4 linked regions of the Pelodiscus sinensis genome follow. The protein of the gene in region 4 interacts with the protein of the main gene of each other region in a pairwise test. Links are inferred from orthologs where the notes say so. Each region holds a gene or a part of one and is shown on either strand. Other genes may lie near its edges.

What was found.
Region 1: the proteins of FSD2 (region 4) and CORO1A interact in binary tests that used the Homo sapiens proteins (3 or more experiments, as listed by UniProt). The two-hybrid records come from large-scale screens. The link is inferred for Pelodiscus sinensis from reciprocal best matches to the Homo sapiens genes FSD2 and CORO1A.
Region 2: the proteins of FSD2 (region 4) and FMR1 interact in binary tests that used the Homo sapiens proteins (3 or more experiments, as listed by UniProt). The link is inferred for Pelodiscus sinensis from reciprocal best matches to the Homo sapiens genes FSD2 and FMR1.
Region 3: the proteins of FSD2 (region 4) and PPP1R18 interact in binary tests that used the Homo sapiens proteins (3 or more experiments, as listed by UniProt). The two-hybrid records come from large-scale screens. The link is inferred for Pelodiscus sinensis from reciprocal best matches to the Homo sapiens genes FSD2 and PPP1R18.

The regions. Positions count from the first base shown.
Region 1 is NW_027465967.1:95,096-102,883, reverse strand, and holds the start of CORO1A (coronin-1A), read right to left. Parts: upstream 3,003-7,788; 5' UTR 2,803-3,002; intron 2,452-2,802; exon of another isoform or gene 2,422-2,451; intron 1,873-2,421; 5' UTR 1,868-1,872; coding exon 1,670-1,867; intron 1,292-1,669; exon of another isoform or gene 1,286-1,291; intron 1-1,285. Other genes in the region: MAPK3 (mitogen-activated protein kinase 3), read left to right, coding at 5,220-5,374, 5,456-5,638, 5,753-5,942. UniProt on the Homo sapiens protein: May be a crucial component of the cytoskeleton of highly motile cells, functioning both in the invagination of large pieces of plasma membrane, as well as in forming protrusions of the plasma membrane involved in cell locomotion.
Region 2 is NC_134723.1:40,628,126-40,635,211, forward strand, and holds the start of FMR1 (fragile X messenger ribonucleoprotein 1), read left to right. Parts: upstream 1-4,081; 5' UTR 4,082-4,347; coding exon 4,348-4,398; intron 4,399-4,402; exon of another isoform or gene 4,403-4,556; intron 4,557-4,623; exon of another isoform or gene 4,624-5,067; intron 5,068-7,086.
Region 3 is NC_134742.1:11,552,965-11,560,217, reverse strand, and holds the start of PPP1R18 (phostensin), read left to right. Parts: upstream 1-4,247; 5' UTR 4,248-4,447; intron 4,448-7,253. Other genes in the region: NRM (nurim), read left to right, coding at 390-592, 1,119-1,295, 2,369-2,689.
Region 4 is NC_134724.1:20,217,461-20,224,294, forward strand, and holds the start of FSD2 (fibronectin type III and SPRY domain-containing protein 2), read left to right. Parts: upstream 1-3,834; 5' UTR 3,835-3,991; intron 3,992-4,465; 5' UTR 4,466-4,658; intron 4,659-6,733; exon of another isoform or gene 6,734-6,834.

The sequences.
Region 1 (7,788 bases), on a different chromosome or scaffold from region 4:
CGGTTACAGCAGGGCCGGGAGGGCAGTGGGGCGCAGGGGTTACAGCAGGGCCGGGAGGGCAGTGGGGTGCAGCGGTTACAGCAGGGCCGGGAGGGCAGTGGGGCGCAGTGGTTGGAGCAGGGCCGGGAGGGCAGTGGGGCGCAGCGGTTACAGCAGGGCCGGGAGGGCAGTGGGGTGCAGCGGTTACAGCAGGGCCGGGAGGGCAGTGGGGTGCAGTGGTTACAGCAGGGCCGGGAGGGCAGTGGGGTGCAGTGGTTACAGCAGGGCCGGGAGGGCAGTGGGGTGCAGCGGTTACAGCAGGGCCGGGAGGGCAGTGGGGTGCAGCGGTTACAGCAGGGCCGGGAGGGCAGTGGGGTGCAGTGGTTACAGCAGGGCCGGGAGGGCAGTGGGGCGCAGCGGTTACAGCAGGGCCGGGAGGGCAGTGGGGTGCAGCGGTTACAGCAGGGCCGGGAGGGCAGTGGGGTGCAGTGGTTACAGCAGGGCCGGGAGGGCAGTGGGGCGCAGCGGTTACAGCAGGGCCGGGAGGGCAGTGGGGTGCAGCGGTTACAGCAGGGCCGGGAGGGCAGTGGGGCGCAGGGGTTACAGCAGGGCCGGGAGGGCAGTGGGGCGCAGGGGTTAGCGGGCAGCCTAGGTTCTCTCCCAGCTCGGAGGGGGGTAAATGTTTGTAGGGAGTAGAACCCGCAGCTCTCTGCCTCTCCCCAGTGCTGGGGATATTTCCCAGGGGCCAGGGGCCTGGGGCCTGGGGCAGGGCCAGGCTGTGACAAGCAACCCAGCTCCCGTGCCCCTGCAGTGCCCACAGCAGGCGACATGAGCCCCTCCCCCCAGTGGGCAGCCAACCTGAGAGCAGGGCAGTCTGGCAGCAGGGCGGGGGCCGGGCCTGCCTCAGCCCTCCTGGGCACCAGCCTCAGGCCTGGCTCTCCCCTCACGCCCCTCCCGCCTCGTCCCATGGTCCTGCCACGGGGAAAGTTGGGCCCACGAACCCAGCAGTCCCATGACAACCTTACCCGGGCATTGTGCAAAGGGGGCACTGGGGGGCACTGGGGGGGCAGGGGCTGCAGTGGGGGGCGCTGGGGGCAGAGCTGGACCGGCAGGGGCTGGGGGGCGGGTGTGGGGAGTGGGACGGAGGGGGAGGGGCTGAGGCGCTCTGCTCCCGTCTTTCCCATCACGATGGAAGTCACAAGGTGCCGCGTTCTGGGAGCCGAGGGTCCCTCCAAAGCCGCATCCTGCCCCGGCCTCCCCCCGGGCCAGGGAAGGACACAGGGCCCTTTGTAGCTGCACCACAGACCTTTATTCCCCCGGCGCCCCCGCCCCTGCTCCATTTCTGGGGCTCCTGGCTACGGTGACCCAGGTGTGGCTGCCACGGCTCCGAGAACCAGGACGGGGGGCTGGGCTGTGGTGTCCCAGACCTGCCCCCTCCCCGCAAACCCACTTCCCCTTTTACACGGCTGCTTCCGCCCCCGCTTCACGTTTGGAGCCATTTAAGGCAAAAATGTCAAGATCTGCATGTTCGGCGGTTTCACAAAACAGCCCCCCCCCCCCCCCCCGGAAACAGAAAGGGGGGGGCAGACAGTTACCTAAGAAGCGCAGGGCGGGGCTGGCGAGGGGCCCCGGCAGGGCTGGGCCGGCAGAGGGGGGAGGGGGTCACTAGCAGGGATGGGGGCGGGGTTACCTTAGCCAGGGGCAGCACCATGAAGGCCCCTCCCCCACTGGCCTCCACGACAATGGCCAGGAACTTGGGGTTGACGGTGCAGAAGCCGCTGTCCCAGGTGGTCTGCGAGACGCGCACGTCGTCGTAGGACTGGTCGGCCTTCGCCGGCTGCCCGAAGACGTGGCGGAACTTGCTGCTGCGCACCACCTGCCGGCTCATGGCGGCTGGGGGAGACGCGCCGTTAGTGCTGCCCTCGCGCCCGCCGCCGCCTGCCCGGCCGCCGCCCCTCGCGCCCGCCGCCGCCTGCCCGGCCGCCGCCCCTCGCGCCCGCCGCCGCCTGCCCGGCCGCCGCCCCTCGCGCCCGCCGCCGCCCCCTGCCCGGCCGCCGCCCCTCGCGCCCCGCCGTCGCCTGCCCGGCCGCCGCCCCCTGCCCGGCCGCCGCCCCTCGCGCCCGCCGTCGCCTGCCCGGCCGCCGCCCCTCGCGCCCGCCGCCGCCGCCTGCCCGGCCGCCGCCCCCTGCCCGGCCACCGCCCCTCGCGCCCGCCGCCCCCTGCCCGGCCGCCGCCCCTCGCTCCCACCCCCCCCATCCCCCTGCCCGGCCGCTGCCCCTCACTCCAGCCCCGCCACCACTCTGCCCCTCACTCCAGCCCAGCTGCCCTGCCACCCCGTCGCTGCCCCTCACTCCAGCCCGGCCATTGCCCCTCTCTCCCACCCTGCCGCTATCCCTTGCTCCTGCCCCACCACCCTCTGCCTGGCTGCTGCCCTGGCTCTACCTGTAGGTAACTGGGTGTAGCAGCATCACTCTGCAGAGACGGGAAGGGTCAGCCGAGAGGGCCCAGGACCTCCCTCCCTCCCACCCACCGGCCAGAGCAAGAACCCAGGAGCCTGGCTTCCCCCTCCCCCCCCCCGCTCTAACCATCAGACCCCACTGCCCTGCCCAGGGCCAGAACCCAGGAGTCCTGGCTCCCCCCCGCCCCGCTCTAACCATCAGATCCCACTGCCCTGCCCAGGGCCAGAACCCAGGAGTCCTGGCTCCCCCCCGCCCCGCTCTAACCATCAGATCCCACTGCCCTGCCCAGGGCAAGAACCCAGGAGTCCTGGCTCCCCCCCCCCCCCCCGCTCTAACCATCAGACCCCACTGCCTCTGCTCTCACCAGTTCCAGGCACTCTGGTGTGACAGTGAATCTGGAGGCTGAAACCAGCACCTTTTAAGGGTGGGGGTGGGGCCTCCCAGGGATAGCACAGCCTGGGGGGGGAGGGGCCAGGACACTCCCTCCCACTTCCCAGCCAGGGGCTGGGCGGGAATCCGCTGCCAGTGGCAGAGGGGTATGAGCCTGGGCACAGGGACCCCACCCCCCGCCTGTCCCCCCGTGCCCTGCTTGGGCCCATTTAGCTCCCCCCCACCTGCATCCCCTTACACACACCCATCTCCCCATGCCCTGTCTCGGCTCACCTAGATACACCCTCCCACCTCCACCCCCTTACACCCCCACGTGTCCCCCCAGCATCCCCTTACCCCCCCACCAGTCCCCCATGCCCTGCCTGGGACCCCTAACTACCCCCCACCAGCATCCCCTTCCACCCCCCCACCAGTCCCCCATGCCCTGCCTGGGACCCCTAACTACCCCCCACCAGTCCCCCATGCCCTGCCTGGGACCCCTAACTACCCCCCACCAGCATCCCCTTCCACCCCCCCACCTGTCCCCCATGCCCTGCCTGGGACCCCTAACTACCCCCCACCAGCATCCCCTTCCACCCCCCCACCAGTCCCCCATGCCCTGCCTGGGACCCCTAACTACCCCCCACCAGCATCCCCTTCCACCCCCCCACCAGTCCCCCATGCCCTGCCTGGGACCCCTAACTACCCCTCACCAGCATCCCCTTCCACCCCCCCACCTGTCCCCCATGCCCTGCCTGGGACCCCTAACTACCCCCCACCAGCATCCCCTTCCACCCCCCCACCTGTCCCCCATGCCCTGCCTGGGACCCCTAACTACCCCTCACCAGCATCCCCTTCCACCCCCCCACCTGTGCCCCATGCCCTGCCTGGGACCCCTAACTACCCCTCACCAGCATTCCCTTGCACCCCCCCCACCTGTCCCCCATGCCCTGCCTGGGACCCCTAACTCCCCCTCACCAGCATCCCCTTCCACCCCCCCACCTGTCCCCCATGCCCTGCCTGGGACCCCTAACTACCCCTCACCAGCATTCCCTTGCACCCCCCCATCTGTCCCCCATGCCCTGCCTGGGACCCCTAACTACCCCTCACCAGCATCCCCTTCCACCCCCCCACCTGTCCCCCATGCCCTGCCTCGGACCCCTAACTACCCCTCACCAGCATCCCCTTCCACCCCCCCACCTGTCCCCCATGCCCTGCCTGGGACCCCTAACTACCCGTCACCAGCATCCCCTTCCACCCCCCCACCTGTCCCCCATGCCCTGCCTCGGACCCCTAACTACCCCTCACCAGCATCCCCTTCCACCCCCCCACCTGTCCCCCATGCCCTGCCTCGGACCCCTAACTACCCCTCACCAGCATCCCCTTCCACCCCCCCACCTGTCCCCCATGCCCTGCCTGGGACCCCTAACTACCCCTCACCAGCATCCCCTTGCACCCCCCCACCTGTCCCCCATGCCCTGCTTGGGACCCCTAACTACCCCCCACCAGCCCCGGGGCTGAGGCTGGGGGGTGTTGGGAAATCAGACCCGGGGGGCCCTGAGGCTGGGGGGGGGGGAGGGGCCGGGGAATCAGACCCGGGGGGCCTTGAGGCTGGGGGGGGAGGGGCCGGGGAATCAAACCCGGGGGGCCCTGAGGCTGGGGGGGGGAGGGGCCGGGGAATCAGACCCGGGGGGCCCTGAGGCTGGGGGGGGGGCCGGGGAATCAGACCCGGGGGCCCTGAGGCTGGGGGGGGGGGAGGGGCCGGGGAATCAGACCCGGGGGGCCTTGAGGCTGGGGGGGGAGGGGCCGGGGAATCAGACCCGGGGGGCCCTGAGGCTGGGGGGGGGGGAGGGGCCGGGGAATCAGACCCGGGGGGCCCTGAGGCTGCGGGGGGGGGAGGGGCCGGGGAATCAGACCCGGGGGGCCTGAGGCTGGGGGGGGGGAGGGGCCGGGGAATCAGACCCGGGGGGCCCTGAGGCTGGGGGGGGGGAGGGGCCGGGGAATCAGACCCGGGGGGCCCTGAGGCTGGGGGGGGGGGGAGGGGCCGGGGAATCAGACCCGGGGGGCCCTGAGGCTGGGGGGGGGGGCCGGGGAACACCCGGCAAGGTGCCGGCGTGGGCAGGGGCGTGGCCAGGTGGAACAGTGGGCGTGGTCGGAGAGGAGCTCCTCGAGCGAGGGCGTGGCCTAGTACCGTAGACTGGGTCTGGGGGCGGGGCCTAAAGCGGCAGAAGCGAATGACAGGGCACAGCACTTCCGCCTTTCGATGACGTCAGAAGCAGCGCTCCAATCCGGGCGCGTAGCGGATGGCGGCGACGTGACGCGGGCCGTCGGGCAGCCCGTGCGCCTGCGCAGAGCCGTCGGGCGGGGCGGTTCCGGGTGCGGCTGCGGCAGCGGGATCGGAGCGCAGCGGCCATGGCGGCGGCGACAGCGGCGGCCCCGGGGGGGCCCGGGCCGGTGCCGGGGGCGCCCAAGCTGGGGGTGGAGTCGGTGAAGGGGCAGGTGTTCGACGTGGGGCCGCGCTACACGGACCTGCAGTACATCGGGGAGGGGGCGTACGGCATGGTCTGGTGAGCGCCCCCCCGCCGCCCGGGCCCCCCCCCCCGGGGCTGCGGGGCGCGGCGCTAACCCCGCCCCTCCCGTCCCCGCAGCTCCGCCTACGACCACGTGAGCAAGGCGCGCGCGGCCATCAAGAAGATCAGCCCGTTCGAGCACCAGACGTACTGCCAGCGCACGCTGCGCGAGATCAAGATCCTGCTGCGCTTCCGCCACGAGAACATCATCGGCATCAACGACGTGCTGCGCGCCGCCGCCATCGAGCACATGCGCGACGTGTATCCTGCCCCGCCCCTGCGCGCGCCCGCGCCGGCCCCTGCGCGCGCCCGCGCGCCCCGCCCCCCGCGCGCGCCCCGCCCCGCGGCCGTTGTGCCCCTTGACCCCGCCCCCAGCTACATCGTGCAGGACCTGATGGAGACCGACCTGTACAAGCTGCTGAAGACGCAGCAGCTGAGCAACGACCACATCTGCTACTTCCTGTACCAGATCCTGCGCGGCCTCAAGTACATCCACTCGGCCAACGTGCTGCACCGCGACCTCAAGCCCAGCAACCTGCTCATCAACACCACGTGCGACCTCAAGGTGGGCCCGCCCCGCCCCCTCGGCCCCGCCCCGCCCCCGCCCCCTCGGCCCCGCCCCGCCCCCGGCCAGTCCAACGTGCTGCACCGCGACCTCAAGCCCAGCAACCTGCTCATCAACACCACGTGCGACCTCAAGGTGGGCCCGCCCCGCCCCCGCCCCCGCCCCCTCGGCCCCGCCCCCGGCCAGTCCAACGTGCTGCACCGCGACCTCAAGCCCAGCAACCTGCTCATCAACACCACGTGCGACCTCAAGGTGGGCCCGCCCCGCCCCTCGGCCCCGCCCCTCCGCCCCGCCCCTCCCCGCCCCCGGCCAGTCCAACGTGCTGCACCGCGACCTCAAGCCCAGCAACCTGCTCATCAACACCACGTGCGACCTCAAGGTGGGCCCGCCCCGGCCCCGCCCCTCGGCCCCGCCCCCGGCCAGTCCAACGTGCTGCACCGCGACCTCAAGCCCAGCAACCTGCTCATCAACACCACGTGCGACCTCAAGGTGGGCCCGCCCCGCCCCTCGGCCCCGCCCCCGCCCCGCCCCCGCCCCGCCCCCGGCCAGTCCAACGTGCTGCACCGCGACCTCAAGCCCAGCAACCTGCTCATCAACACCACGTGCGACCTCAAGGTGGGCCCGCCCCGGCCCCGCCCCTCGGCCCCGCCCCCTCCGCCCCGCCCCCGGCCAGTCCAACGTGCTGCACCGTGACCTCAAGCCCAGCAACCTGCTCATCAACACCACGTGCGACCTCAAGGTGGGCCCGCCCCGGCCCCGCCCCTCGGCCCTGCCCCCTCCGCCCCGCCCCCGGCCAGTCCAACGTGCTGCACCGCGACCTCAAGCCCAGCAACCTGCTCATCAACACCACGTGCGACCTCAAGGTGGGCCCGCCCCGCCCCCGCCCCCGCCCCTCGGCCCCGCCCCCTCCGCCCCGCCCCCGGCCAGTCCAACGTGCTGCACCGCGACCTCAAGCCCAGCAACCTGCTCATCAACACCACGTGCGACCTCAAGGTGGGCCCGCCCCGCCCCTCGGCCCCGCCCCCGCCCCTCGGCCCCCGCCCCCGGCCAGTCCAACGTGCTGCACCGCGACCTCAAGCCCAGCAACCTGCTCATCAACACCACGTGCGACCTCAAGGTGGGCCCGCCTCGGCCCCGCCCCCTCGGCCCCGCCCCGCCCCCGGCCAGTCCAACGTGCTGCACCGTGACCTCAAGCCCAGCAACCTGCTCATCAACACCACGTGCGACCTCAAGGTGGCCCCGCCCCGGCCCCGCCCCTCGGCCCCGCCCCCTCCGCCCCGCCCCCCGGCCAGTCCAACGTGCTGCACCGTGACCTCAAGCCCAGCAACCTGCTCATCAACACCACGTGCGACCTCAAGGTGGGCCCGCCCCGGCCCCGCCCCTCGGCCCTGCCCCCTCCGCCCCGCCCCCGGCCAGTCCAACGTGCTGCACCGCGACCTCAAGCCCAGCAACCTGCTCATCAACACCACCGTGCGACCTCAAGGTGGGCCCGCCCCGCCCCCTCCGCCCCGCCCCTCCCCGCCCCCGGCCAGTCCAACGTGCTGCACCGCGACCTCAAGCCCAGCAACCTGCTCATCAACACCACGTGCGACCTCAAGGTGGCCCCCGCCCGCCCCGCCCCGGCCCCGCCCCCTCCGCCCCGCCCCCAGCCAGTCCAACGTGCTGCACCGTGACCTCAAGCCCAGCAACCTGCTCATCAACACCACGTGCGACCTCAAGGTGGGCCCGCCCCAGCCCCGCCCCTCGGCCCTGCCCCCTCCGCCCCGCCCCCGGCCAGTCCAACGTGCTGCACCGCGACCTCAAGCCCAGCAACCTGCTCATCAAACACCACGTGCGACCTCAAGGT
Region 2 (7,086 bases), on a different chromosome or scaffold from region 4:
ATTTTCACATCAAAATGTGTTTAAAATTTTTTATATTTAAAAGTTTAACACTAGCAGCCACCCTCTGCCTACATGCTAGAGTGAGTGCATACACAGAAATCTGTAAACACTCATGGAAGTGTTTTGTTCAAGAACAGAGTGATGAAGATGAAAGAAACCATGTGCAATACTGGACTTCCTGACATCAACAGTTTTATCACTGTCTTCAAAGGGGCCGAAATATTAAAGCATGGCTTTTGTCCAAAGACACACCTAGAGTCATAAGTTTTGTCCCAGAAGACATGGCCATGACAAACAAATTAACATTTTCAAAAGTTTACAAGTGTATCAAAATAGTATTTCCCTCCTCTTCTTGTCCCTTAATTAGCAGAAAAATCTATATGCCCCAAAATAGTATTTCATTATACCAGATGACTGACTATCATAATACTTTCACACATGCAAGTTTACTTCTGGCATTTCCTAACTTTTGAGTGTATTACCTTGCAATCTTAATGTGTCTTTAATGTAGTGTTATAAAATTTATCTATAGTTCACCTGTAGCACCATGGTATCTGGAGGATAATAGTCAAGATGTTAAAATATATTTTAAGTAACCATACAACTGCTGAAAATTTCAGTCGTTTCACACAAGGTGGCAGTAGACATCCCGGGAGCTGGTGTGCGTGGGGAGCCGGCATTTAAGCCGGCTCCCTGTGCGTAACTGCTCCCGCCTACCTCGTCTCCCCTATGCTGTTGCCTCTGATATAAAATATCATTTAATATTTATAAATCAGATTTCAAGCCCTATTGTGCATGCAGATCTTGAGTACAGCAGAACCTTAGTTATAAACACCTTGAGAACGGAAGTTGTTCATAACACTGAATAGGGATGTTCAATTGCAGCTATCTGACTAATTGTGTAGTCAATATTTTTATCTACTTCATGGTTAGTCAAGAAGGACCACTCTGCACAGTCACAGCGGGGTAGCTCCAGGAGCCGGCTCTAGCCAGGACTGAATATTCCCAGGAGCCACCCACACTCCAGTTCTGCATTTTAAATGTAGTAAGAGGTGCTGGGCTCTTACTACATTTAAAATGCAGAGGCACAGCATCCCGGACCAGTGCAAGCCAGGACTGCTCTGTCTTGCCTCATGCTGAGTCCAGGAGCCCTGTTGGCAGCAGCCAGCTCTGTCTGCCACCAACAGAGGCTGCTTTGACACCAGTTTCTGTTCATGGCAGCCAGGGCTGGCTGCAGACAGGGCTAGAAAGTAGTCAATACTCCAGTCAACTACCCAATAAGCATAAGCTTATTGACTACTCACTAACATCCCTAACTCTGAGAAGTTTAAAAGCTTCAGGGGATAGCCGAGTTTGTTGTGTTTTAAGTTTACCCTGTACAGACTAATAGTCTGGTAGCACTTTACAGACTAACATGAGCTTCTGTGGGTACAGCCCACTTCCTCAGATGACCACATCTAAAGAAGTAGGCTGTGCCCACGAAAGCTCATGATACCATCTGAAAGGTTTGTAACTCTGAACAAAACATTATGGTTGTTCTTTTAAAAGTTTACATCTAAGCGCTGACTTAATAAAGCTTTGACACCTTACAGGGTGGGGGGAAGGGGGAGAGAGAAACACTTTTAATCATCTTGATTTAAATGAAACAAGCATTATAATCAGTTTCCTTACCGTGCCAATTTTTTTTTAATCTTCCATTTTTTAGTAGCTTATATTTAACATAGTATTGTAGTGTATTTGCTTTTTAGGGGTGGAGTCTCTGCTGCTGCCTGATTGCGTTCTTCTGGTTCCAAATTAGGGATGTGGTTGACTGCTCTGTTTGTAAATCTGGTGTTTATGTAAAATAAAATCTCAGAGTTATAATGCATTTAAACAGCACACCCTACAAATTTTTAAATAAATCCAGCAGTTTGTAGGGGTAAAATCAGATACAGTACTAAGACAAACAAAGATATTATTTCTGTAACTTGCAAAGGAAACCATTGAACCAAAAGGAATATTTGCAAAACATGAGATTTCTGTGCTATCCACACTGCAGGTATTTGTCAGCAGAGAGTGCGCTAATGAAGTGCTCTGCCAATGCTCTGTCATATTCTCTGCCAATGCTTTTTGCGCAACAAGTTTTTGCACAAAAACAAGCAGTGTAGACGGGTCTGTTTTGTGCAAAAAAAACCTTTTGCGCAAGAACCTGTATACCGCCTTTTTTTAGGCATAGGAGATCTTGCGCAAAAGTGGGTTTTAGCGCAAAACAGACCCATCTACACTGTTTGTTTTTGCGCAAAAAGCATCTGCGGAGAATATGTACATGACAGTGCTTCATTAGCATACTCTCTGCCGACAAATACCTGCAGTGTAGATATAGCTTCATAGTCTTAATATAGGATTATTGAATAGCACCAAGAATATATCCCGTAAGTGAAGATTCATCCAGACCATCTGTGTACAAACTCCGCATAAGCAATAGATACTACTTTGCTTGAACTCTATTGTACATTTTTACATATTATGTTGGGATACAATTTGTATTAAATGTATCTGTTTGTTGTATTGCATGGTGCTTTCAATAAATGTCCAAGCCAAGAGTGGAAGTTGTGCAATAGCACTAACAGTCCCCAACATTGCCACCTGTATTTAACAAGGGCTTCCTGAGCTCTCTTTCGGATTTGATCTGCAGAACATCTGAAATGGTCTAGGTCGGAGGAGAAACAGCTAACAAGGGCAGACAACTCAAGCTACAGCCTCCATTTACTCTCAACATGAAGAACTGAGCTTGGGTTAGATCCCCAAGAGGAAGATAGGCCCCTTCTTAACAGCACCTGCAGGGTTTTAATTCAGATCAAACAATTAGTGCAAAATGCGTGGCAGGTGATTAGCCAGCTTAGTCCTCCACTGCCAAGGGCCTTCTTTAGTTGTGCATCTAAACCTAGCACCACTGCACAGAAAACTCAACTTCACCTGCTGCATGATGAGAGTGATGCAAATCACAGGCAGCTGTGGTATGTGGTTACAGATACCCACCGGCTCATATTGGCAGATAGAGACTGTGTATCTAGAAAAATGCAAGCCTGTGGATGTCTGTTTTATAGGTATGAGCACTGGCAAATGTAAGCATCCATGGGTTTTTTCTTTTGGCAGATACCAACTTTGTAACCACCCAGGGCTCTGCCCAGGACAGCTAAGCCACAATCCTCTTCAGCCAACATTTCCCACGCGCTGCACCCTCCCCCCCGCCTCTCCCCTCTTTCAGCCATGCATCACTGCCCTCCCTCCACCCAGCACCAGCCCCCCAGTCTGACCCCCTCCTGGTCCCACGCCTCCAGCCTCCCCCACCCTCAGCCCACACCACAAGCCTCTCTTCACCCTTTCCCCCACCCCACCCCAGCCTCCCCCGTCTTCCGCCTTTCCTGGTCCCGGACCCTACATCACAACCCTCTCGCCCCACCCGCAGCCCTACTCCACAACCCTCCCTCCACCAGCCTCCCGCCTTTCCTGGTCCCGCACCCTCGACCCCACAAAACAACCCTCCCGCCTCACCCCGCCCCAGCCTCCCGCCTATCCTGGTCCCACCCCACAACCCTCCCTCCCAGCCTCCCCAATCTTCCGCCTTTCCTGGTCCCGCACCTCAGACCCCTCCCCCCCGGGTCTTCCCCCACTCCTGGTCCCGAACCGCCACCCACCCCGCACCTCCCGCCTCTCTCCCCCGCCTCGCCCGCTCGTTATTTTGGCGCCACAAGCCCTACCCCTTCCGTTCTCCTCGCGAACTCCACTAACGGCCCCCTTACCCGTCTCTTCCCGAGGGCCGTTGAACGCCGTGCTAACAGGCGCCTCGACGGGTCACGCGGCCTCCTTCCCGGGCACTCCCATTGGCCGCGGCGCACGACGATGGCGCGCCGCCATTGGGTGGCGGTGCAGTCGCTCAGAGCGTGAGCGGCAGGGGTGGGATGCCGTCGCGCCGTGAGGTTCGGTTGCGTGCCGCCGCTGGGGGAAGAGAGAGTGTGTGTGTGAGGGAGGGGCGCGCCGGGCTAGCCGTTAGGTGGACGTGAGCGGGGCGTGCTCGCGCGAGCTGATTTTCCCGCCCCTCCCACCCCGATCGGGGGGCCTGTCACGTGATGCGGGTTTAATGTTTACATTCGAAGCGGGCGCCCCTCTTCCTACCGCCCCCCCCCGCGCGCCGCCGGGTGGTGACCGTTTCGCTTTCATTTCCGGGCAGCCGCGGGCGAGGACCGGAGCCGACCCGCCCCCACCCCTCCGGCTACGGAGCGAACCGAGGCTCCCCCCCACCCTCCCCCGGAGAGAGAGAGGCGGCGCCGGGCCTGGGCATCCCGCACCGAGCCGCCGCGGCACAACATGGAGGAGCTGGTGGTGGAGGTGCGGGGCTCCAATGGGGCCTTCTACAAGGTACCGTGCGCCGGGCCTCAGGGGAGGGCCCGGAGGCGGCGGCGGCTCCCCCCGCCTGTGCGGGAAGGAGAGCGGCCCGGGCTGGACGGCGGCCTGGGAGAGCCTGAGGGGAGGTCGAATGAGGGAGGCCGCCGAGGTCTGAGGGAGCTGCGGGCGGGCTTGGGGCCTGCGAGACCTTCGCCCTGCGGGGGGGGGGACATGCCTCGCCGCTGTGCGAGGGAAGGGGGAGAGGGCACGGCTGGGCCTCTGCCCTCCCGGCGCTGTGGGGGACCAGGGGCGGCCTGGAGCCTCCGCGCTGCATCCCGGCGAGCCCCTGCCGGGCGCGGCGGAAGCTCGTGAGCAGGCTTTCGCGGTGAAATGCCCCCCCCCCCCCCCCCTTCCGCGCCGCTGCGGCCAGGGATGCCGGCACCCGCACGGGCGGGAGCGTGGCGGGGCCTACAGGGCCTGCCCCGGCTTCCTGCGAACGTTACGGACCCGAGTGTGTGTGGTAGGCAGCAGTGGGGAGAGCCTCCCCTGAGTGTGGCACGGAGTTATTCCTGGCTATTGTGATAGCAGCTCGCGTTGCCATTGTTGCTCCGTGAAGTGAAGAGCGTCGGTCAGTAGACAGGAGAGCATCCTTTGGGTTGCAATGGGCTGTGATCCAGGAGACTTAAGATAACACGCAACCAGGTTAGTAGAGCATGGGGTTAGGGCCTACTCCCACTGGAGTCAGTTGGAGCGGATCCAGACCCTTTGTCAAAATACTCTTCACCATGATGGGTCTGTTGCTGCAAAGTGCTAAGCCCTCCACTTCTATGGGGTGTTGAATGTTCTTAGTGTCTTCAAGAATTGAGCCTACTATTCAGCAGCATCGCATGTGTATGTTAACAAGGTAGATGTGAACTCTTACAAAACTGAATAGTTCACATACTGTAGCACAAGGGAGGTAGGAAGTAGGATCTGGTACCGAGATAATATTGATTTTCTTTTAAAGTTCATACTGTATACAATTTTTTGTTAAAAAAAATCTGGAGAGGAGAGTTTTAATATATGGTAACATCTCCTGTGTTTTCATAGTAAGAGAACAGAAAAAGTGCTAAATAGAGTGTCTGTTGGGTTTGCAGTGTTCCAGTTGAAATCCAAGATCTGTATATAGCTGGTAGGAAATAAAATACCCAGCATTCACAAAAGTCTCTTTTCTTTATCTCTTCCGGGTTCGTCATTGTTCCAAAAGATAATTGAAAATGTAAAGTATGAATTTTAGGGATAAACAAAGTAGGAGTTTTAAATGGCTGAAGGTTTGGGGTTTTTGTGGGGGGGGGGGTTAATTTTTTTTTCAAATTGTGCGCCAGTAATAAAGTGGCACTGGTAGGCAGCCTTTGTAGAAAGACATAATTTAAAACATGTATTCTCTCTGATTAATTAAAAGTATACAGTACTACTGTGACAAGATTATTGAGAGTATATAAAACAAATTTGACATACTTTAATTGCATGACATTAGTACAGAAAGTTCTCAACTTGAAAAATACTGTAATTTTCATGACCTCTTCTGGGTTTTTTTTCTAACACTAAACCAATACAATAAAATGTACTGGCTTACATGATGATGATGATTATTATTATTATTATTTATTATTATCAGGGCTCAACAAATAATGTAATCTACTCATCTGTGGCAAGTAGCTTACAACCTGGAAGAGCCAGCGCAGAGCAATCTGCACATGTGCAGAACCACGTGAAATCGTGCAGGTGGCGAGCAGAGCTCGCCGCTGCTTGGCGAGCCATAATTATTATTATTATTTCTGGTTAATTTGTGTCCCGGAACAAGTTAGGTTTATGATGAATGGAAAGTTTTGTTGGTTCGTAACAAGTCACTTTATTTCATAAATTGAGAGTTTGTTCAAACATTGTTTAGTACATCTAGCCTATTTTACAAACGTTTCTCCAAGCAGAAATGTATATTTTTTCTTCTATTTAAGAATTTATATAGCCTGTTTTTTAGCACATAGGAAGGATAAATAAAATTTTAAAATGGCAAGCCATAATGATCCACTCTGACTCAAAGATTACTTAGAGGATTACATACATTATAAATCTAGAAACAAGCTTTTATATGAAAAGTTTCTCTCAATTGTTTAAGGATTAGTATTTAACAGAAAAGTCAGTTTGTCCACTCTAGTTGTCATTTTAATGTTATAATATCTAAGCACCTTGCACTTATTAATTAATCCTCATACTGCACTGTGAGATGTCAGTATTATCCCCATATTCCAGATGGAGATACTGAAGTATAGAATGAATTTCCTTGTCTAACCTTATCAGGATCAGGAACAGAGCAGATTTAACACAAGACTGTCCAAATGAGAAAATAAGAAATTTCTTCACAAAGAATCTTGACAGAACCCTGTAGAATTATCATGTTGTAAAACTGTTCATTCCATTTCATTTTATGATATATTAATATATAACTGATACTGTTCTCATTGTACAGTTACTACTAGAAAATAGGGCTGTTAAGAATCAGCTAATCTTGTACCACACAATTAGTCAATAGGGTTAGAAGCCTCCAGGGGCTACCCCCGCTGCAGCTCTACAGTTGAAATGTAGTAAGAACCAGGTGCACAGGCTGGGCTGGCTCACTCCAGATCCAGCAAACCGTCAGTGGCCAGCCCCAAGGGCAGCGAAACGCACTGGGCAAGCTCGGCA
Region 3 (7,253 bases), on a different chromosome or scaffold from region 4:
GGGAGTGGAAAAAGGGAGGAGACCCAGGGTAAGCCCCTCCCTGGAGGCTGGTCTCTGGGGAGACAGGGTGGATCCTGGGGAAAGCTCCTCCCAATCCGGGGGTTGTGGGAATAGTGGGGGCTGCAGGAGAGGGGAGACCCAGGTGAAGCAGAGTGGGGAGAGGTTAGGGGGGAATGCCGGAGAGCTGGGACGGGGGGCAGAAGCCATGGGCAAGGCAGGGTGGTTAAGCTGGGTCCTGCTGGGGCCTAGGGCAGGAGCTGGGAGCAAAGAGGGAACTGGGGGCAGAGGAGGGAGCAGGGCTCTGGGGGAGAGGAGGGGAGGGACCCAAATGGGTAGCTCATTCCTGGGTACTTTCTGCCTCCCATTAATCATTGTCTCCCCCTTTGCAGAGGCCTCCCCCAGCCCGCAGTGGGGAGCTGCCCTGCAGGACCCCCGGGTACTGCAGCCCCTGGCCATGGACCTGGGGCTGGTGATGCTGTTTGTGCTGCAGCACAGCCTCATGGCCACTGCGCTGGCCAAGCGCTGGACTGCCAGCTGCTTCGGGGTGCTGCAGCGATCCTTCTACGTCTTCTGCACCTCCCTGGCCCTGCAGGTACCCACTGGGGGAAGCCCTGGGCTGGGCTAGGAGGGGTTGGGAGTGAGGGGCACTGGCAGAGCTAGACTGTCAGGGGCTGCAGGTCGGGAGTGAGGGGAGCTCAAGGCAGAGGGCTGTGGGTGGGGGTTGAGGGGCACCGGAAGAACTGGGGGGATCCCAGGGTCTGGGGTAGCCAGGCTATGTGGGCACTGGCGGAGCTGGGCTAGCTGAGGGCTGTGGGTTGGGGCTGAATTAGGGCACCAGCAGAGCTGGGGGTGGGGCAGGGGGCAGGGCCAGACTAGCCAGGGGCTGCAGGTTGGGAGTGAGCGATGCTGGGGGCACTGGGCAGGGCTGGCAGGGGCTGCGGGTCAGGAGTGAGGGGCACCGACAGAGCTGGGGGGGCTAGTAGGTAATGGGGGGGCGGAGCCCAGGGCAGGGGGCTGTGGGAGGAGGTGAGGGGCACAGGCAGAGCTGGGGGGAGCCCGAGGCTGGGTCGGGACTGAGGGGCACCGGCAGAGCCATTTCAAATGGGGCTCCCCCGCAGCTGCTGATGCGGTACTGGCAGCCCGTCCGGCACGGCCCCCTGCTCTGGGACGCCTGCACGGAGCCCTGGGACACCTGGGTCCCGCTCCTCTGCTTCATCCTGCACTTCATCGCCTGGCTGGTCATCTTCAGCGTCATCCTCATCTTCGACTACGCCGAGCTCATGGGAGTCAAGCAGGTATCTCGGCCCCACGCAGCCAGGGCTGGAGAGGTGCCTGGCTCAGGAGGGGTGTGGAAAGTGACATGGAGCCTTTCCCCCTCTAGGGGGCGCCAGATCCAATGTGGCTCCGGCCTGGGGGACTAGCTGGCTGTGAAGGCGACATGGAGCCTTTCTCCTCTAGGGGGCGCCAGATCCAATGTGGCTCCAGCCTGGGGGACTGGCTGGCTGTGAAGGCGACATGGAGCCTTTCCCCTAGGGGGCGCCAGATCCAATGTGGCTCCGGCCTGGGGGACTAGCTGGCTGTGAAGGCGACATGGAGCCTTTCTCCTCTAGGGGGCGCCAGATCCAATGTGGCTCCGGCCTGGGGGACTGACTGGCTGTGAAGGTGACATGGAGCCTTTCCCCTAGGGGGCGCCAGATCCAATGTGGCTCGGGCCTGGGGGACTGGCTGGCTGTGAAGGCGACATGGAGCCTTTCTCCTCTAGGGGGCGCCAGATCCAATGTGGCTCGGGCCTGGGGGACTGGCTGGCTGTGAAGGCGACATGGAGCCTTTCTCCTCTAGGGGGCGCCAGATCCAATGTGGCTCCGGCCTGGGGGACTGGCTGGCTGTGAAGGCGACATGGAGCCTTTCTCCTCTAGGGGGCGCCAGATCCAATGTGGCTCCGGCCTGGGGGACTGGCTGGCTGTGAAGGCGACATGGAGCCTTTCCCCTAGGGGGCGCCAGCTCCAATGTGGCTCCGGCCTGGGGGACTGGCTGGCTGTGAAGGCGACATGGAGCCTTTCTCCTCTAGGGGGCGCCAGATCCAATGTGGCTCCGGCCTGGGGGACTGGCTGGCTGTGAAGGTGACATGGAGCCTTTCCCCTAGGGGGCGCCAGCTCCAATGTGGCTCCGGCCTGGGGGACTGGCTGGCTGTGAAGGCGACATGGAGCCTTTCTCCTCTAGGGGGCGCCAGATCCAATGTGGCTCCGGCCTGGGGGACTGGCTGGCTGTGAAGGCGACATGGAGCCTTTCCCCTAGGGGGCGCCAGCAGGGATCCAGCTCTGCTCTGGAGCAGGGCGTGTCTCAGCTCTGCCCTTTGCCCCTCCCCCAGGTTTATTACCACTGCCTGGGCATGGGAGACCCGCTAGCGCTGAAGTCCGTGCGAGTCCTGCGGCTCTACTCCCACCTCCGCCACCCCGTCTACCTGGAGTTCCTGCTGGTGCTGTGGGTGGTGCCTTGCCTGTCCCTGGATCGCCTCCTGCTGGCCAGCCTCTTCACCCTCTACCTGAGCTGCGGGCACGCCCTGGACCAGCAGGACTATCTCTACCTGCGCGCCCAGCTGGATAAAAAGTTCCTGGTCTTCTCCCGCGAGGAGGCTGCCTATGGGGACCTGCTGGCCCGCAACGGCCCGGCGGCTGCCAAGGAGAGCTGAGGGGCCAGGGCCTCTACCATGCACTGAGGCTCTGAGCTCAAGAGTCCTGCACTAGTTCCTGTAGAATTAGCTCCTCTGAGTGCCTAGCGTCTGCAAATGCCAAGCCAAGCCCTGCTCTAACCACTAGGCTCCACTCCCTCCCAGAGACAGCAGTTCCCAGCCCCCCCCTGCTCTAACCACTAGGCGCCAGCCTCCTTGCATCGGATTTTTAAGTTCAATCCCCAGCTCTGGGAGAGGAGTGGGGGCTAGTGGTTAGAGTAAGGCAGGCTGGGAGGCAGGTCTCCTCCATTCTGTCCCCAGCACTGGGAGGGAAGTGGGGACTAGTGGTTAGAGCAAGAAAGGGTTGGGGAGCCTGGACTCCTGGGTTCTCTTTCCCAGCTCTGGGAAAGGAGTGGGGGCTAGTGGTTAGAGCAAGAGGGGGCTGAGAGGCGGGGCGCCTGGGTTCCATCCCCAGCTCTTGAAGGGGAGTGGGATCTAATGGTCGGAGGCTTGACTTGAGGCTGGGAATCAGGACTCCTGGGTTTTACCCGGCGGCTTTACCCAGCATGTTTTGTTTCGAGCCGCACTTGTGGCTGCAGAAAGAGTCTCTGAAAGTGTGTTTTGAAACACAAAACAACGATAAATCTGTGCAGAATTCAGTCACACACTGGGGAGTGGGGCTTATTCTGGACTTGGCGAATGGCATGTCCCCTGTAGGGGGGCTCGGGCTCTGATCCAACACCAGGGTGGGGGACTGGCTGGCTCAGGAGATTGAGGACTGGGACGTGGCACCTTTCCCCTTGTGGGGGGGGGTCCCTTTTCCAACTCTCTTCCCTAGGAGCCAAAAGCCATTCCCGCCCGCCCACCATTCTGTGCCTTGTGGTTCACACTGACGGGTTCCCGGACCAGTCGTCTCCTTTGGGCACTTCACCGCCCTCTTGCTGGCGGTCTCAGCAGTGAGTAGCAGCCCGGTTGTGGGGTGGCAGGGGCTGAGGGGTGGCTCGTTCTGTGCCCAGGACCCCAGTCGCTGGGCATGAAACTAGGAGTCAGGACTCCTGGATTCTGGTCTAGCTCTGGGAGTGGAAAGGTTTAGAGCAGGGGGCTGTGAGTCAGGACTGGGGGGGTCCTATCCCTATCCCCAGCTCTGGCAGGAGATGGGGGGCCTAGGACTTAGAGCAAGTGGGCTGGGAACCAGGACTCCTGGGTTCGATTCCTGGCTCTGGCAGGGGATCCCAGTGCCTTAACCGGGACCCTTTATTTTTAAGCACCGAAGGGTTTTTTTAACATGGTCGTCTTCGCCCAAAGCTGATAAAGTATTTTTGTATTTCTGATTTTTGTGCGAGCTGAGAGAACTTTTTTTTTCCCAAAATTAAAAAAGAAAAGTCGCTGCTGCTTTTACACACTTGTCTGCCTCCTGTGTTCTCCCCCCAGCTCGGGGAGGGGAGAGGAGTCTAATGGTTAGAGCAGAGGGGTAGCAGGGGGCCAGGACTCCTGGGCTCTCTCCAGCTGTGGCAGAGGAGTGGGGTCTAGTAGTTAGAGCAGGGGGGGGCAAGGAAAAGGGGGGGCTGGGAGTCAGGATTCTTGGGTTCCTTTCCACTCTCCACTTGACATCGAGAGTCATTTGTCCTTTTCCTCTGTGTCCTTAACTGTGAAACAGACCAGAGCTCGGCAGTGCAGGGGACAGACCTGTTGCTATTCCAGAAACACGCTGCTCTGCGAACACTCAAGAGCCTGTGGCAGACAAGCCGGTCGTTGCGGTACTCCCTGCCGGAGGACGGGGTTAGTACGGGCAAACTAGCCACGGCATTGCACTATGGAACAATCCACTGAGCACACTACTGGTTTTATACCACCACTCGCCATTAGGGGGCAGTATTAGTACAGGCACACAAAACAGCGTTTCTCTTGTCTCTCCACTAGGGGGCAGTGTTAATTCAGGCACACAACACAGCGTTTCACTGTCTCCCCGCCAGGGGGCAGTGTTAATTCAGGCACACAACACAGCGTTTCACTGTCTCCCCGCCAGGGGGCAGTGTTGATACAGGCCCACTCCCGAGGGCATTTGCTCCATTAGGGGGCAGTGTTGGTACAGGCAAACTAGTGTGTTTCACTGTGTCTCTCGCCTGGGTGGTGTTGGTACAGGCGAACTAGCTATAGCAGTGGTTCCCAACCTGTGGGTCTGTGATGGTACTATAGGGGGTCCACGGAAAGTTTAGGGAAGGAAAAGAAAAGCAAGGATCGGGCCCACTAGGGGACTGGGATTTTCTGCCAGGCGATATTCACCTGGGGGTCACCGTTCATGACTGGCTGCATGCACACTGCCTCCCACCCCAATCTTGATACCCCAGGAGGCACCATCTGTCTGCCAGCTGCGCTGCTGTTTACGCTCCAGCCCTCTCCCCACTCCTAGTCCCGATCCTCTTTTTTTTTCCCCTCCTCCAGTGCTCCATGGGGCAGAAGCTGCCTTTGGCCAGGAGATTCCCCCTCACTGTATGCTCCGCAGATGGGCAGGGGCTAGAGGGGGAGGGATAGCTCAGTGGTTTGAGCATTGGCCTGCTAAACCCAGGGTTGTGAGTTCAATCCTTGTGGAGGCCATTTGGGGCAAAAATTTGTCAGGAATGGTACTTGGTCCCACTGTGAAGGCAGGGGACTGGACTCAACTGAACCCTTCAAGGTCCCTTCCAGTTCTAGGAGATAGGCATCTCCATTAATTTACCCACTAGGGGGCAATGTTGCTACAGGCTGACTAGCTATCAAATTTCACTGTCCCCCCACCAGGGGGCCATATCGGTACAGGCAAACTAGCTAGAGAGCTATACCCAAAAAAGCTCAGGATCCCATCTACATATTTTGTTTGTCATTAAGATGCAGCTAGACTATTTGTTGTTTTTCAAGTTTTTCTAGCTGTAGCATTTCACTGTCACCGCCTGTAGCAACACCGCTAACTAACTATTCCATTTTAATTTCTAGGGACTAGGGGGCGGTGTCGGGACAGGCAAACTAGCAATAGCATTTCACAGTCTCTACCTGTTGGGGGCAGTGTTGCTACAGGCAAACTAGGTACTGCATTTTAATGTCTGGGGACTAGGGGATGGTGTTGGTACAGGCAAACTCGCCTCAGCCGTCTGTTACATCTCTGCATTACGGGGGCCATGTCACTCTGTCAATGGTTTCAGGGTACCCAGGAGATGGCTAAGATTTTCAAGGGGTCTATTCCACCATTTGAAATTTTTCAGGGTGGGGCAAGGTTGAAACCCACTGCTCTCTGGCAGGGTTTCTAGTCCCTCCCAGGAGGATGGTGGGTTCGGTGTCTGTCCCCCATGGCTGCTTGTAGCCAGGCAGGCAGGGGCCTGGCAGTTCCCAGGCCTGAGGCCGGGGGCTGGGCCTATGACACAGGCCTGCCGGCATGCGTGCGTCATGCATTCCTGCTGGATTAGAGGCTGCAGACAGCTGGCGGGGAGGGAGCGGCCTTCACTAAGGCGCTTGTCTGATCTTGAAGGGTCAGGCAGGGTTAGCGCTGGAACAAGGGAGCAGAGCAGGGGCTCTGTAGGGGGCGCTGACCCCCGGCGCTCAGGGTTGATCCTGACACCCTGGTGCAGTATCGGGCCGGGCGCGGGGGAAGTTTGTAAATATCCTCATGTCCTGTTCCCACGAGGTGCGGTGGCACCGCTGCTGTCCTGGCCTAATTCCCACACAGCTTACTGTAGTCTCGCCCTACAGCCCACCGTGCTTTGCGATTGTAACTGGCCTAGGGAGCCCCCTCCTAAAATGTGGGGCTGTTACTTCTCTGTCCCTCCCCAGAGATGGCTGCATCCCAGGGGAAGGGTTTGGAATTTTTCTGTTAGCCTGCAGCAAGGTTTACATGCTAGGGGTGGGTTTTCTTGGAAGAGGTGCCCTTTGCCTCACCTGGCATGCGGGCGCCTGCCTCTCCTTGTCCTCCTTACCTCACGGAGACTTGGGGTCCCAAATGGTGCAATTCCTCAACCAGACCTCCAGGGGGTGGTGGTGTATTAAAAATCCCGCCTGTTGCTGTGCGACCCTACCAAAATAAAAGTGTCCTTCCCAGGGCTCCCTGGTGTAATCAACAACCCCCCCCCCCCCGTATGCCTGAGAGACCCTACAATAACACACAGGTCTGCACAAGGGCACCAGCATTTGTGTTGCCTTACAACAAATCAGCAAGGGAACCCTACAATAACAAATAGGGTGGTGGGGGGTGCCAGGGCAGGTCAGCCGGGAGCCAGCAACTTCTGAGATGCTGGATGAGGCTGCACATCAATCCGCTGCCATCCACCACCCCCAAGCTCTGACAGCCCAATTTCTACCCCCTAAACCACCATCTGCAACTCTCTGTACCCCTAGAACCACTGAGAAATTGCTCCCCCTGCTTTAAATCCCCTGCGCTCAGAGGTTCTAGGGACCAAGCCGAAATCCTCACATCACTGTCCCCCGATCTCTCAATGCAAATAGCTGGGCACTCCCCAGATCAGAGCCTGACCCCTAACAGCGGGGCTGGAATACTGTGTATGGGGCAGGGCTGAGAACCACCGGACTGAACTGTAAACTCTACATAAGATGGAAACCA
Region 4 (6,834 bases):
AAAGCCCTGCTCGTCTTGTCTGCGTCACTGATTTCAGTGATAGTGAGGCATCTAGATACCACTGAGGAGTTTTCTGCATGAAATCAAGAGCAATTGTTAAGTCCAGGGGCGGATATAGGGCAGGGTGAACGGGGCGGCCTCCCCGGGCCCCGCGCTTCAGAAAGCCCCGCGCATGCGCCGTGGCACCGCTGCGCATGCGCATGGCGTCACTGTGCATGCGCCATGGCAAAGGGGGTCCCTGCGGAATTATGCTGCCCGGGGCCCCGCAAAACGGTCATCTGCCCCTGGTTAAGTCACGAATGGAAAGACATCAATACATGTTATCCGGGATATGTGACAAATATAATTGCATAGATAACCGATACTTTACTAATAAAAACCACTGACTCAAAAGGCATTGTCATTTAGATGCAGAAGAAGAAATACAGAGCTGTGTACAGTATATAGCAAATCTAGGACCTGATTCTGGAAAGAATAACACTAGTAAGATGTTCAGAAGGTTATCTTCAGTTGCAGTCATATAATACTGTTGTAAAGGTATCAGCTCTTATAAATTAAGGCAGTCTGGAGAGGTTCATTTGATGGATGGGAGATTACAATGATGTAGTAGCAATTCAGCACTATTTTCTCTCAGCATGGTATTAAGACGATGCCGCTACTAGAAATGGCAATTTTTGGATGAAAGATCATACTGAGCTGGGGTCACAATGAAAGAAAAGGTGATAGTACTTTGCCCTCAACACCAGAGTTGCTAAATGTTTCTGCCAAAATCAGCGGAAAAAGAGTTAACAACATTGATATTTAAATTGTAATTATTAGCATTCAGCATTAATACCCCTTTCAGGTAAAGGAGGAAACCCACATCTCTCTTAAAGCTAGTGTCCCTATCAGTGTTCCTTCTAATTTTTTCCATCCACATGCAGAATAAATTTTGTTTGTGCGCCAAAGCATGCACAATGTGCACCACCACTAGAAACACATACTGCCAGATATGGGAAGTGGTGGGTGCTCTGCTAATCAGCTGGGCAGCATCTGAATCTCTCCTAAGTGGCAACCTGAGAGGTCAGCTTATGAGGAACACTGGTCCCAATCTATAGACCCAACATTGCAACAGTTCAAATTCTGAAGATTGTCTCAGCCTTCTTAATTTAAAAGGGGAGCAAAAATGATAGAGAAACACAGGGGCGGATGAAAGTTTTGTGGGGCCCAGAGTGCAGGCGGGGCCTATTGAACTGCGGGGCCCGGGGCAGCATAATTTTGCGCATGCGCCACGGCCACATTCGACAGGTAGTAGCACGTGTACGGGGCCTATTGAAGCCCGGGGCAGCTGCTCCACTCGCCCTGCCCTATATCTGCCGCTGGAGAAACGTATGGGGTCACTAGAAAAGTGACGGTATAGCATACCAATGCATAAAAACTCAGTCTGAGCCCTGAAATGAGGTGCTATCATTTGGGATCTTTGACACAAAACAGTCAAGGTATCAAGTGAGAAGAGCTGCAAGTATAGAACTTACTTACTTTCAAACCGATACACTCACTTTATAAGCAAACACCACGTTTTCCTTCAAATTGAGCAACTTGAAGCATGCAAAAAACTAATCAGAGACACTGCAGGTGAAATGCAGCTCTGTGTAGAGGATCGGCACAAGGCTTGATTCCCATGAATAGCTCCTTTTTTAAGGGGTTAAGTAGGAATTAGGAAATCAGTGGTCACCAACCAGTGAATCGGGATCTACTGGTAGATCTTGGGGCCTCTGACAGGTGATCCTGACTGCTTTGGCCACACGGCTATCAAGTGCCAGCACGTCAGCTGTTCCTCCTCCAACTGCTGCACAACTCCGGCCCTTTGCCTTGGAGCTGTTCCCCCAGGAGCCTCCTGCTTTCTATGCAGGGCAGGGAGAGGAGGTGGCACTGATGTCAATCTGCCCCTTCTCCCACTCTTTATCCTATCTCCACAGAATGGAGGGGGGGCACAACAGGATTTGGGATATAATTTGCTGGCTGCTTTTGGGAGTGGTGCAGGGCCAGGGCAGGGGGAAGCCTGGCTTAGCCCCACTGCATCACCACCCAAGAGACATCTGAGGTAAACAGTGCCCAGCTGGAGCCCACATCCCGAAACCCTACCCCAGTCATGAACCCCCTCCTGCACCCCAAGCCCTTGCCCTAATCCTGAGCCCCAATGCATCTAAACACCCTCCCAGAGCCTGAACCTAGAACCCCTCCTCCGCCCCAACTGCCTAGCCCAAGCTCAGCTCAGAGTCCCTCAAGCTCCAAATCCCGTAACCCAAGACCAGAACCTGTACCCCAACCCTCTAGCCTGGCCTGGTACAAGTGAATGAGGATGGGGGAGGGAGGATGGAGTGAGCAGGGGTGAGGCCTCAGGGAGAGCGGGGCAAGGAGCACAAAGGAGGCGGGGCAAGGGTGTTTGGGTTTGAGGTAGATCTTGAATTGCACTTAAATTCAAAACGTGATCTTATGCTTAAAAAGTTTGGAGACCCCTGACTTAGGTGGTCCAGAACCCTGCTTCAGGCACCGTACAACAGTGAATTTCACCCAATAGTCTGTTGTGGCCTTACAAAATAAGGGCATGTGCCATGTATGCCAGCTTTGCATCAGGGCACCTTAAGGAGATCTTTGCAGATTTGCAGCAAGATAACAGCAACATTTGCTTCTAATTTGAAAATGAATACAGACACTCTTAGACAAAATACTGAGGTTGGCTGCATCATTCATTTGGAAGTACTTCCTCTCTGACTTAAACAATAAGAGGAAATGCCAGGGGACTATGCAGAATGAGCGTGGACACACTAGCAGTTAGTTCATAATTCATTACTTGGGAGGATCACAGCAGGAGCGAGAAAAAGAAAGGAGGAAACTAAAAAATAACACAAGGTACAGAATTTTCCGTTGTGGGACTGCATGGTCAGTGAAACACAACAGATATTTATGAAGCTGCAATAACTTCATTGTCCTTTTAAGCACAAAACTATGCCAGTTAAAGAAAGGAAACAGGTGAATAATTTGAATGGCATTCAAGACCTGCAGTTAATGCTCATTCTGTGGCTTGTTTGCAAGCTACAGAGTATTACATATTTCAATTTCAGTGGATTTGTGTGTGGACTCATACATCACAAGGGCTACTGCAATCTAAATAATTTCTTATAATTATTATTAATAATATGGGGGCTATTCTTTAATCAGATGAGCAGTGCATTTACCTAGCTAGCAGCTGTTTTTTCTATTATTTTCAGCCCCCAGGTAGTCTGAAGTTGTATATATTGATATTTATATAAATTATTGCAATTAAAAATATAGATACAAGTTAATTACTTTTACCATAATGCTTTCTAGAGTCTGATCTTGCCTTCCATTGAAATAAATGGCAGTAATTCTACTGACTGAAGTGGGAGCAGGGTTGTGCCATTTAAACTTTTATGAAGAAGATAACAGATATTTAAACTTAACTAGGTCAGTGCATACCTGCCTGTCACAGAGAGGGAGAGGGAGAGGCAGAGAGAGAAAGAGAGAGAGGGACTATGCACCCTACATAAGGTACAAAAAATATTGCTTATTCTTGACTCACAACCTTGCAAAACATCATATTTAGATTCGCTGATGGACACATCAGATGCTTTTAATAATATCTGCACAGAGTTCTCTGTTTTTAAGGGGGCATTCCATGTCTGTTTAAAATACATCAAGCCTGGGAACCCCACAAACTTTTGGAGTCATTTTTTTCAGTGTATGACATTCATCCTGGTGACACTTAAGTAGTGTGAAGCTGAAGGACAGATCTATATTTGTCATTCTTGCTCACAGCTGACATGTCATTTGAGAAACTGTTTAGAATTACTTTAATAAGTTTTCCAGCTGCAGTCACAGGAAACTGGCAGGGAATTACCTTCATGTGAATTCATTTGTGCTAGGAAAAATAGATGTAAAGTTTGGTTCATCTGGGTTATAAGAAGAATGTATGGATTCTTAAGATAAGGCAAGTTTTTAGGCAGTATGAGTTGATTTTATGTGTTTTGGATTATTGAACCTCAAGGGCTCAAGACATACTGCATTATAATTGTATCTATGTTTGTAAATTAAACATACCACATAATCCCGACTCTTTTTTTGGCAGGAGTGTTCCAAACACATTTAATTATACTTGTTTTAATTTCTGTAATTGAATTACAATATTCTAGGCAAAATACTTGATATTTCATTTTTTGATTTAGTAGCAGATAATTTATAGTGTGTAAAACAGAATTTTTGGTTGTTAAATTATGAAAGAGTTAGACTTTTTTTCAATATGTTTCAAGACTATTGTCCTGTTTAATGTTTTAATATTTCATGACACTCGGGATATAAACATGATATATTTTATTGCCTGTGGCATATATATTTTCTGCCTTTTATCAATATTTTTAGTTACAGCAAAATGTGTTAAGTCTAAATTCCACTTTCATATTTTCAGTGACTGTGTGTTTGTGTGTAAAAGCAGAAGGCTAGACTGAGTTCTCAGTTACACAAATATAACTCTGGAGGATGGAATGTTTTTCACAAAATTTCTTGCAGTTCACCTCTATTTGATGTCTGTTAAACCAAGAGGCCAGTGAGCCTATCATCTTGCTGGAAATTGGCTGTTTGTTCCTGATACGTTTGAAAAGGTAAAAAAATGAGAAAATATTCTTAATACAATGTTGTTAGCTTAACAATTAACTGCCAGGAAATCAATAAAATCACAGAAAAAATGTGACCGGATAGGAACTAACAGAAACAGCAAGAGCTTTAAATGGCAATTTGGAAACCACACCAATGGTTACAACGTCTAAAATGGCTTCAATATGCTTAGTGATGACCGACAGTTTTGATTCTGTGAGAGAAAGAAACCCACATTGTCATTTAGAAGCCTTAAAATGTGACTAAATAGAGACTATAACTATGATGTATGTTCATTAACACACAATTGAAATACTTGAACTAATACTTGAAGTACTTCTATGACCCCTTTAACCATAGTAATAAAATTTTGGATACAAAACCAAAAGTAGTTATGCACTCAATAGGCATGATCTCATTAGCGCTGATAAGCTGTATGGTATCATACTGAATTTTCCAGTCTGACAGTGCACACCAAATGTTCGCTGAATATTAACATAAATTCTTATTCTGGCATTAATTGGCTTGCTAGAAGGGCTGAGAGTAGGGACTGTTCAATAAAAGGTGAGCGGACTTTTGCAAAACTCAGGAGTGAGTGAGGTAGAGTTCATTTCTTCAGTAAAACTTCATGCATTTATGCCATGATGAAATATATGTACTGTACATTCCAGCTTCAGTAATTGGGAGTCTCCATGCCTGTACATGAATATACAGAGAGTAGTTAGATACACACATAGGAATCTATACATATGTATTGAGAAAATTATGCTTAAATTACATGCAATTCCCCCTCCTCCCAAAAAACCCTATTTTAAAATAACATTATTAAGGTTGTAAAGCCAAGCATTGAAAAGCCATCCTCTGAGTCAGAGTGGGAAATAATTTTTGGTGCGGGGCCACTCCAAGATTTTGGAAACTGGTCAAGGGCCGCACTTTTCTGTAGAGGGGATGCAGGGTCTAGGATGAAGGTTGGGTGCAGAAGGGTACCCGGGGTAAGGGAATGGGGTGCAGGAGACAGTGTGAGGTCTGAGAGGGAGTTCGGGTGAAGGAGGGAGTTGTAACTAAGGATGTTAAGAAGTGGGTAATTAACTAATTGTGTATTTAATACAACTTGTATTGAGTACACAGTTAGTCGATAAAAGGCCCTGCTGCAGCTCTGTAGTTGAAACGTAGTAGGAGCCGTGCACACAGGCAGCCTGGCTCCTAGTACATTTACACTACAAAGCTGCAGTGGGGATAGGTCCAGGGGCAGCGCATGAGTATAGGCAGACTCGGCGGTTGCCTAGGGCGCTGGCTTTAATGGGGCGCCTGGGGCGCCTGATGATGACGTCACAGGGCGCCCGGAGCACCCGATGATGATATCACACCATTGATGGCCATGCAGGAGGGGGCGCCGATCCCGCATTCTGCCTGGGGCACCAGCTGCTGCTGCCGGCCTCGGGCCGCTCCTGGGTAGGTCCCAGACCTGGTGTGAGCTAGAACTGCTGAGTCCCGGCTCGCGTTGGATCCCGGACCTACTCTGCTGCGGCTCAGCCTTTTAAATGCAGTAAGAGCCGCCTGTGGTAGGCCTTACTACATTCTTTCACATTCCCATCTGTGTGATCGTTACTAGAAGTTTATGACTTTAAAAAAAACAGGTAGAGCGAGCCTGTGCAGACTGGGCTCTCTGTAGTACTTATTTGGTCATGTCTGTCCCTAGATAGGGAAATATTTAGGACACCAACATGAGACCTTCATCCTGAGTTTGGGTGTGGAACAGGGTTGGGCAATAATTTTTGATGGGGGGCCACTCCAAGATTTTGCAATGTGGTCAAGGGCTGCACTTTTCTGTGGAGGAGATGTGGGCTCTAGGATGGAGGCTGGGTGCAGAGGGTGCCTGGGGTAAGGAGCTGGGGGGCAGGAGTTGCAGCGAGGTCTGAGGGGGAGTTTGGGTGGAGGGGGAAGTGACCTGGATCAGGGGATTGGGGTGCAGGGTCTAGGAGGGTGTTTGGGTGCAGGAGAGGATTCTGGCCTGGGGGACGGGGTATAACAGGGGATACAGGGTTTGGGAGGGGGTTGTGACTTGGGACAGGGATTGCAGAGGGTTTGGATGGTGACTGGGGGAGGGAGTGGGGTGCAGGAGAGGCACAGGTGCCAGAGTCAGGCTTTGGCTGGAACTCTAAATGTCGCCTGGCCAACAGCCCT